3 separate regions of the Mus musculus genome follow, and regions 2 and 3 are each reported to be linked to region 1. The links are microRNA targets in miRTarBase. Many come from high-throughput screens and were not tested one by one. Region 1 holds a microRNA gene; each other region holds the end of a gene's coding sequence.
What was found. Region 1 holds the annotated microRNA mmu-miR-344e-3p (GAUAUAACCAAAGCCUGACUAU, at 1,461-1,482, shown strand). A microRNA usually pairs through its seed, bases 2 to 8, with sites in the 3' UTR of a target mRNA and lowers its output. Matches are read on the target gene's strand: a 7mer-m8 pairs with bases 2 to 8, a 7mer-A1 pairs with bases 2 to 7 and ends in A, and an 8mer does both.

Region 2: miRTarBase lists Pfkl as a target of mmu-miR-344e-3p. Seed matches in the 3' UTR shown: 7mer-A1 at 802-808.
Region 3: miRTarBase lists Mpped2 as a target of mmu-miR-344e-3p. Seed matches in the 3' UTR shown: 7mer-A1 at 2,026-2,032.

Annotation. Positions count from the first base shown.
Region 1 is chr7:61,733,763-61,737,020 of GRCm38, reverse strand. Mir344e (microRNA 344e) reads left to right here and starts at 1,419; the gene lies at 1,419-1,484. All of the region lies in intron 6 of A230057D06Rik (RIKEN cDNA A230057D06 gene), which reads left to right.
Region 2 is chr10:77,985,355-77,988,612 of GRCm38, reverse strand. Pfkl (phosphofructokinase, liver, B-type) reads left to right here. Exons shown (of 22, transcript NM_008826.5): 22 at 256-1,666. The coding sequence ends at 403. Cfap410 (cilia and flagella associated protein 410) reads right to left here. Exons shown (of 7, transcript NM_026431.2): 7 at 3,175-3,258. Among named protein-coding and RNA genes, the nearest start is that of Gm51807, 2.6 kb to the right of the region's middle.
Region 3 is chr2:106,866,632-106,869,889 of GRCm38, reverse strand. Mpped2 (metallophosphoesterase domain containing 2) reads right to left here. Exons shown (of 7, transcript NM_001143683.2): 7 at 1,530-2,942. The coding sequence ends at 2,824. Among named protein-coding and RNA genes, the nearest start is that of C130023O10Rik, 50 kb to the right of the region's middle.

The sequences.
Region 1 (3,258 bases):
TTTTGTACATGCTTTTTTTCCTAGGTCAGTCCTTTGCAACCTTACAGCTCTGGAGAGTCATGAGCCATTTAAGGAAATCAATAAATGATTACCTGATCACCTCTACCTAGGTATTACACAAGGTAAAGGAAGAAATAGAAACATGAATTTTCTTTGTGAGCTTGTACTTGTGGATACCTGAAGTCCTAAGATTCCTTCATATTTTCATTCTATCTTTAGAGATCAGGCCCTGTCATAAAACCTGGATAATTTTGAATTGTTTTATTTGATTAATACATTCCTGAAGGTAGAAATAAGATTACAGCTTTATATGCATCAGAAAATGCTATGGCCTCTTTAAAACCACACATTAAGGAATTGAAAGTGGTCTGCAACCCTATAGCAAGAAGAACAATATCAATTATTTAGACTCACTCTCCCAGAAGTCCCAGGGACAAAACCATCAAAAAGAGTTCAAAAAGAGGGACCTAGGTCTCCATGCTCATAGGTAGCAGAGGAAAGCATTGCCAGGCATCAATCACTGGAGAGGCCCTTAGTCCTGAGAAAGCTTTATGACCCATTCTAGGAGAATACCAGGGCAGGGTGCCAGTATTTTGTGTGTAATTGGGTAAAGTAACATACTTATATAAGATTTCCCAGGGGGTTCCTGTGGAGGACTCTGGTAAAGGGTGTAACATCTGAAATGTAAATATAAAATATCCAAAAAAATGGAAAACAATACCACACTTCAAATATTTTCCATCCACCATATTTGATGTGAATAATATAGCACACAAACATTGTTTACAACACTGAGTTGCATTTATTATATTTCAGATTTATGGACCACTGCAGCTTTTCATTGAAACTGAGTAATCATGGACTAGGGAATGGGCAGAATATTAACCTTGGTATTAAAACAATTCTTTCTAGATGCAAGAATAAATAATATTTTTTCAAGTAAAGAGTATATACAGAGCATACAATTGTTAAATTGGAAAAGGAGACAAAGGCACAATACAATTGCCCAGTAGGCAGCAAAAATGTCAAGAAATACGGTGAGTGGGCTCAAAAGCTAACAGAGCATCCCTGTAAAATAGCTTAAAGATAATCAATAAGGCAGAAATAGGACCACCCCAAAGTGTTCAGTGAGGTATTTTTCTGTAGGTCAGTGAAGAGAAGAGAGGGTAAAACAGTTTTTTTCTGCACTTCACTTTCAATTATTCTCATTTCTTCTGGGAAGGCAGGGAGGAGTGTATGAGTTATGAATCACCAGCACTGATGTAGATATCCAAGGTTACTGCAGGCTCTGCTGTCCATGCCTAGATATGAGATCTCTCTTCTGATTGGATCTCATTCCATTCTCTATTTGAATGCACATTCTCCATCAATCAGAAGCCAGGAGACCAAATAAATTGGTCTGCAGGGAAGGATTTGATCAGTCAGGCTTCTGGCTATATTCCAGGACTTACCTGGTCCTGGATATAACCAAAGCCTGACTATATGGTGCTAAAGACAAGGAAGAGTGCTTCTGTAACTGACAAGAGATGGAGCCAGTGGACAGCTCCAAGCAAACTGCTTTTTTTTGTTTCAGAGCCTCCATTCTCTGATTCTTTGGCTCCTAGTTCCTGTACAGGGAATGCCTCCACATGTGAAATTCAGGCATCTGCTGTCCATTTCTTGCCTCGGTCATGCAGGGCTGTGCCTTCTGTAATGAAGATACAACATTCAATCTTCAGCTTGTGACACAGACTACAGAACAATTTTGGCATTTTCATGTTTTTAGATCAGCCACTGTGAGTACCACGATGGCAGCAGAGGTGCTCAACATACCAGATTTGAGTATAAGAAAAATTAGATGTGATTAACAGGCAGAGAAACTACCATACCCACAATCCAAGCAGTGTTATGACAGTGATGCTGGTAGCATGTTACCATTAATAGCCAAAGGCATTCAACATTGCAACCATTGTTTATGGTGATACTTTTGTTGTTGTTTACTAGATTTTCTAAATGCTTTTCTCTCAGGTTGTCCTAAGATTTCATGATATTTTCATTCTATTTTTTTTTTTGAAATCAGGTCTCTGTCATAAAATCTGTATAATTTTGAACTGTTTTATTTTATTAATACATTCCTGAAGGTAGAAATAAATTTACAGCTCTATATGCATCAGAAAATGCCATGACCTCTTTAAAACCAAACATTAAGGAACTGAATGGGATTTGCAACCCTATAGGAAGAACAACATTATCAACTATACATAGCCCCCATAGAGGTCCCAGGAATTAAACCACCAACCAAAGAGTACACAAGGAGAGAACCATGTCTCCAGCCTCATAAGTAGCAGAAGAATTCTGAGTCAGGCTTCAATCAGAGTAGAGGGGCTTGTCTCTCATAAGGCTAAATGCCCCAATGTAGGTGAAAGCCAGGGTGGGGTAGTGGGATTGTGTGTGTGGAGAACATCCTCATAGCACCAGTGGGAGGGGAGATTGGACAGGTTTCTCTGGGAGGGAATTGTGGAATGGGCATACAATTTTAAATTTAAATAAGAAAATATCCAGTATAGAAATATAGAAAACAATCCACACATTAAATATTCCACATATACCATATTTTGATGTGAATATTCATACCATGTAAGCATTGTTTCAACACTCAGTAGCATTTATTATTTTTCAGATTTATGGAAAACTGCAGCTTTTAATACCACCCGAATACAGGTAGAGCTAGGCATGAGCTGAATATTAAACTAAATAGACAAACACCTCTTTGTGGATACATATTATATTTTCAAGGAAAGTTCATACACAGAGCATGTAACAGATAAATTGGATAAGTTGAAAAATGCACATCACAATTGTTCAGCAGGCAGCAAAATACAGAAGATTAATGTTACAATAAGTGGGCTAAAAAAGAAACAGCACATTTCTGGCTAATAGCTTAAAGCTAGGCAGAAGGAGCCAGAAATAGGACCATCCCCCAAGATTCTACTGACTTCTTTTTCTGTAAGTCAGTGCAGAGAAAAGAAGGTAAAGCAGGTTTTTTTTTCTGCCCTTCACTTTCAATTTATCAATTTCCTTCTGGGAAACTAGGGTGGAGGGGGTTGAGGTATCAATAAGCAGTACTGATGGAGATCTCCAAGGTAACTGCAGGCTTTGATGTCAATGCCTAAATATGAGCTCTATCTCCTGATTGGATCCTATTCCATTCTCCATCAATCAGAAGCAAGGAGAGCAAATAAATATGTCCACTGGGAAGGATTTGATCAGTCAGGCTTC
Region 2 (3,258 bases), not on the chromosome of region 1:
CAGGGCCCCTAGCAGGCTTTGAAGAACAGGAGTCTTGTCCATGCGTTCAATGGCCAGCACAGGGTGGTCTGGGGAGGGTTTGTGACTCTTGCATCTGAGTCTACCTCAGAAGTACTTCCCCTCACTCCCAGCCAGAGGAATGGGGCACCCAGATGTACCCTGTATACCCTGGTCATGATGGCGACTAGGTATTCGGGGTTTAAGGGATCTCGGGATTCAGTTCTGTAACTAACTATCCAACCTTGACCTGCGCAGGCACCGCATGCCCCGGGAGCAGTGGTGGCTGAATCTGCGGCTGATGCTGAAGATGCTGGCACACTACCGCATCAGCATGGCAGACTATGTGTCTGGGGAGCTGGAGCACGTCACACGCCGCACCTTGAGCATAGACAAGGGTTTCTGAGCTTACTGTCACTACTGTTCCTGCGTTCCCGGACTCTCACCCTCCCAGTGCTAGCCACAGATCCCAGCACCGAGGGGAACTCAAGGGGAACTCGGAGCCCGTGGCTGGCTGAGGGATGTGGGGGTCTACTGTGCTGCTCTGGGGCTCTTCCCTTAGCCCTCCCCCCACCCCCAGGACAGAGAGCCTGTGGGGCCCCTACCTTCCAGTCAGACCCACATTGCCTCTCCCTCACTGGCCAGCTGGCTGCCTCACCACACGGCTGAAAAGAGCCTCACTTTTTTAGAAATAAAGTCACCTGTCTAGAGCATGGTCACTGGGACAACATGACCAGAGGAGTCCAGGGAGAGGGTTGTCAGGACTCAGGTGCAAACCTTACCCAAGGCTATAGTTTGTTTAATTTATATAAGTACACTGTAGCTGTCTTCAGACACACCATTAGAGGTCATCAGATCCCATTGCAGACCGTTGTGAGCCACCATGTGGTTGCTGGGATTTGAACTCAGGACCTCTGGAAGGGCAGTTGGTGATCTTAACCGCTGAGCCATCTCTCCAGTCCTGCCCACAGCTATTCTACAAGACTGGAATTTAGGGAACCCTCCCGGGAAGAGACTAGGGAGACCTGAGCCCTTAGAGAGCTACTGAGGCTCGTGTGAGCCCCATACCTGCCCTGGAATGGCTGGGGTATCGGCCTGTGGGCAATGTGCCCCGGTCTGGAGAGGAGACTGTCATTGTCAGTATAGTGTTCTTGGCTGATTGCTGCCCTTCAGGAGGTTCTTGAGGTCGGGACGTTGGCTCCTCAGAGAAGTTTATGAAGGGCTGAGCCCTGGCCAGCCCCACCTCAGATCCCTCTCTAAGCCCCTTATCAGGGTTTCTTACGTGAGCTGCTGCTGGGTCCATCCTCTACAGTGCCTGGATTTTTACAATATTTACAATAGGTGGAGGCTGTTTCTGGTTTCTCCGTGTATGGAGGTCAAGGGTTGTGACTTTGGCTCTGTGGACCTGCAGGCCGCATTGGGGCGGTGGTTTCCTTGGGTAGACGTCTCCCCCCATGGGTCACTGTAAGGCTTCTGTGGGGGTATTGCAGGCCATGTACCCAGCTGCTTCATCTGGCTGGAGCCCCCAAAGCTGCTGGGAGCAGAGTCCTGGAGTGTAAGTGTCATATCACAGCACCCTGGAGGGTTTGGTCTTGAGCACATGGCAACAAGGCCTGTATATTAGGGCTCTAGAGAAACAGAACCAATAGAATGTATATATACTGTAAAAGTGGGTTCGCCAGACTGGCTTACACAAATGGGCTTGGTAGCCTAATTGTCTTAGGGTTTTATTGCTGTGAATAGACGCCATGGCCACAGCAGCTCTTATAAAGGAGAACATTTCATTGGGGCTGACTTACAGTTTCAGAGGTTTAGCCCATTACCATCATGGTGGGAAGCATGGCGGCATGCAGGCAGATGTGGTGCTGGAGAGGTAGCTGACGGTTCTCCATCTGGATCTGCAGGCGCAGGAAAAGACAGTGAGCCACTAGGCCTGGCTCCTGAAACCTCAAAGCCCACCCCACAGTAGCAAGCTTCCTCCAACAAGGCCACACTTCCCAATAGTGTCACTCCCTATGGGCCTGTGAGGGCCATCTTTATCCAGACTTCACCAATAACAGCCATCTGCTGGCTGGGGAGGCTGAGAGCCCTGGAGCTGCTAAATTCACAGCAGCTCCATTCTAGTGCTGAGGGCCTGGAGGATCTTCACGCCACACTGGAAAGTCAGAGTTTGTGTCTGATGTCAGCAGAGGGTGGTAACAGCAGCAAGAAGGGCTGGCAGGCAGCACTGCCTTTTACTTGGAGCACCCAATATCTGGGCTGCCTGCTAGCGGAGGCAGTCCCTGGAGAGGGCCTTCCCCCTTTACTAAGCCTTCCTGGAATAGCCTCGTAGGCTACCGTAAGGCCTCTTAATAATTCTCCAGGTTAATTGACAGGCTCAGGTCTCTCAGGACTGCTGGGAGACACCTGTGCTTGTTCCAGAGTCACCATCAATGTCCATACCTGTTAGTGTGTTCTCCCTCCACCCCCAAAGCAGCGCAGGGCCTGGGGACATGGCAGGCTATAGTTGGACATCTGAAGATTAGAGCAGCACCTACCCAGCCGCTTGCTCAGTCTGGGCGTCTGCTACACAGGGGGTTCTGCAATGGGGAGGCATGAAGGGTGGGCCTGTGTGGCTCATTTTGTTCATGGCCAGGTGGAGTCGGGTCATTGTCATCAGCGTGGACTCAACTCTCAGTATGGAACCCCTGCTAGATTCAGGGTCTACCTGCTTGGCTGCAAGGTGGCTTTGGGCCCTGGTGATAGCAATGGCTTCAGGTACAGAGTAGCCATCTCTTTCCTCTCTTCTCTTGCACCACATCCACCCTTCCAGGGGGTTACACCTCCAGCCTTAGCTCTCCCCGCTGTGAGTTGGATGGGAGGGCACCAAACCCTTGAAAGGCCAATTCCTGTTCTGCTCAAGGGGCTGGATCTGGAAGATTCCAGATGTGGCTGAATGTCCCACGCTCGGCTCCAGGTAGGGATATGAGCTGTGCTTTAGCAGAGGCTGGGAGTGGGGATCAGGGATTGGGGGCTCGGTGCAGCTGGTAGTCTGCCCATCCCTGGGGTATATGTGAGTGTGCCACAGGAGGATGGAAAGCTAGGACGTTACAGGCATGGGGTGTGGTCCTGAGGGAACCTGCTGGGCATTTCCAGAATCTTACATCCTGGAACGAGGAAGTGGGCCTGGGACACAGACACTGGTAAAAACAGTTTATTAAGAGAGAAAGCACTCCCAGGTTTCGAAGTGGGCCAGCGGTGGAGCAAAGCCAAGGGCCCAGC
Region 3 (3,258 bases), not on the chromosome of region 1:
TAAGAGTACACACTGGAAGGCAAATTTAGCAAGTGTTTCACTTAATCTGTTGGTGCTCAAATGTGGTTTCCAGGGCTGTGTACACACCCATGTCCTCAGGACCATCCCTCCATCCCTGGAGATCTTCCTTTGCCTTGTAGAGATGTCTGAGCTCACGTCATGGTTAACAGCCAGGTGAAATGTCTTTTCAGTACTTTGCATCTCTGTCCATCCCCTAGGAAAGGGCACCAAGGCAACAATCTTCACACCAAGTCAGCAGATTAAGGGAGGATTGTGAGCTTCTCTCAGGACCTCATCCATCTCAGCTCCCACAGTCACAGACTCTTCTCGTCTGGAAGCCCACGCACCCGTTGCACAGTGTCAGATCAGAAACGGACAAGCCTAAGAGACGCAGCTAAAATGGACAGAGATAATTATGAGAATTTGTGCTGTCGTTTGAAGAAGACTGTTCCAGCTGGTGCTGAAATCAAGAATTCCTTCCAGGAATAGCATCAGAAGAATCACAATAGTTAGACCGAACGGAAATGCAATGCAGTGGGCACAGACTTAGCACAGATTTAAGATCTTGTTGCAATTCGGGGTGCGGGGATGTTCACTTGTAAACCCCCACAGTTAAAAAGTGGAGACAGGTGGGTCAAGAGTTCAAGGTCCTCCTCTGTTACACAGAGTTCTAGGTCAGCCTGGGTTATCTGAGACACTGTTTCAGAAAATGGAAACAACAATAAAATAAAACACAAAATAACCTTCTATAAACAAGCAAAGGCCCTACAAACAACAATAGCAAGGTGCTTTTCCTCAATGGTTATTCTCAACCTGAGGGTCACAACCACTACAAGGGTCAACTATCAGACATCCTGAACATCCTATATTTACATTATGATTCATAACAGTGGTGACATAACAGTTATGAAGTAACAACAAGATCATTATATGGTTAGAGGTTATTACAACATGAGGAACTGTATTAAAGGGTTGCAGCATTAGGAAGGTTGAGAACCACTGATCTAGACAAAATGAAAGAGGTATATACAATTTCCCCAGCCTACCACTGGCCCCAGCTTCTCATTGGAAAAAAAAAAACATGTCAGTGGACTCATTCAAACAGAAATGAAACCATGGGGTGGGGGTGACCACTGCACGTCATGAGGATAAATGAGAATGTTTTAGTGAGAGGGTGTCTGTCCTCTGAGGCGCCCTCTGCTCACTACCACTGTCACATCCCAAACAGCAGTCACAGCCTTGTCAGTCTTTCTGTCCCCATACATTACAGTGGCCAAAGATGGAAGCTGCACCTTCTGCAATCTAAGACGAGACAAACCAGATCCCCAGTGTGCTGCAGGGAGAACCTCTTGTCAATGGACCTGACAGCCTGGGATTGGTAGGCCATAAACAGTTATTGAAAAATTAGAAAAACAAACCCACTATTCTAATTGTTCAGAAGGGGATTACTCAAATCGCATGTAAATAAACCATCTTAGCCCCAGGACAAACCTACCCCGCCCTCCCCCAGGCAGCCCAACCACGCAGCACCGATTTAAAAATCTTGCAATTTTATTTGCATATAAAGGCCGCTAGATATAGAGTATCACAATAAATTTAAAGAAAACAACTGCTTTCCTAAATTTGAAGGTAACATAAAATAGAATAGCGCTCAATGGCATCGACAATGGGAGACCAGAAAGGATTATTAGCAACAATATTTTGTGCTAGCGAAGATTGCATCAACACACAGTGCAAAATGGGAGGGGGAGGGGAGTGAGAAGACAAAACAGGGCCTTTAAATAGAAAGGACGACTAAGCCTTATTTAGTTCGCTTCCGATGCATCCACTGGAGTCTATACACACTGGTTACTGTACCTAGACTGGACTCAAGTTCTTTAAGACCTTGAGTTTGAAGAAAGAATGGGTCAGTTCCTTCAGACGTCTGGTGTGCTGCTACCGATGTGGCTTTGCAGTTGTACTGTCCTTGGCAAGATTAAACTCCCAACTGAGTCGTAATGCACAAAAAATAGTTATATATATATATATATAAATCCACATGGAAAGGGAGTCTGCACACTTTCTTTTTCCTTGCATGACCATCTCTTGACAGATTCTTGTTTCCTTATTTTTAAAGCTCAAATAATTTAAAAGAAACAAACAGTGAGAGTTGGTAGCATCATGATATGGATCTCTGGCTAAGCCTCTGCATGAGGGCTGTTCTTCCCCCACCTCAGACACAGTCTTCTTTATAGCCAGAGAGAAGCTAAGGTTTTTCCTAACCAACTTCTGTTGAGATTGCTCTAAATTGGGGCCACATTTGTAAAATAAAAATGAGGCAATACCAAGAAAACAACAACAAAACATTGAAAATTAAAACATATCAAACAATACTCAGAGTTGTGCAAATCTGGGTGATTTTTCAAAACACTGCTTTTGTGTTTCTTTCTGTCTTTTTTTTTTTTTTAATCTTTTCCTTTCAGCTTAAAGCATATTCAAATAAGACTTTTTAAAATAATCATTTTTTTTTTAAAGAAAGCTTGGCTGTCCTTTGGCAAATACTAACAATTTACAATGGCGTGGCCTTTGAGCAAACAGAAGTCATTTTACAAATTCACAATGTTCCTTTGATTTCAAATGGATACCCCACTCAAAAAAGCAAAAAAGAGGCGGCACAACGCTAGCATCTTTTTTTTTTTCTTTTTTCTTTTCCCTCCTGTTCCAACAATTTACAAAAAGAACTCACAGGATTTAGAAATAAACAAATCAGAGAATGTGAGTTTATAATTAGAAAAATGGCAGTTTGTAGACCGTCCCTCACATTCCAACGGGATGCTGAGTGCTTTAGGAGCCCTGTGGGTTTGGAAGGTCAAATATGATTGGAGGGTTGGTCGGTTGAAAGCTGACTGTACAGGTTGAGGCATTGATGTAGGTGGTGTAACCGTCGGTCATGATGCCGTACCCTGTAGGAAGACAGTGTCACAGTTACTGCAGTATACACAAATGGTGGAGGCAGTTGAGCACAGGGCCACGGGCAGGGAGAACAAGGACATCTTTGTCAGAGGGCAGGGGGATGAAATTCAGTGGGCCTTTCCAGATACCACAGATTTCAGGAGCTCCTGGCCAACTTTGCTGTTTGCTTTAAAAGGGGGAGAATTCTCCCCTCCAACAAAGAGTGATTCTTCCCTGTGTCCTCTTTGCTTAAACACTGAACTCATCAGGCAAAAGACATGATAGCTGTATCACTGAGAATAAAGGAAAGTATTCCCCTACCTTTCA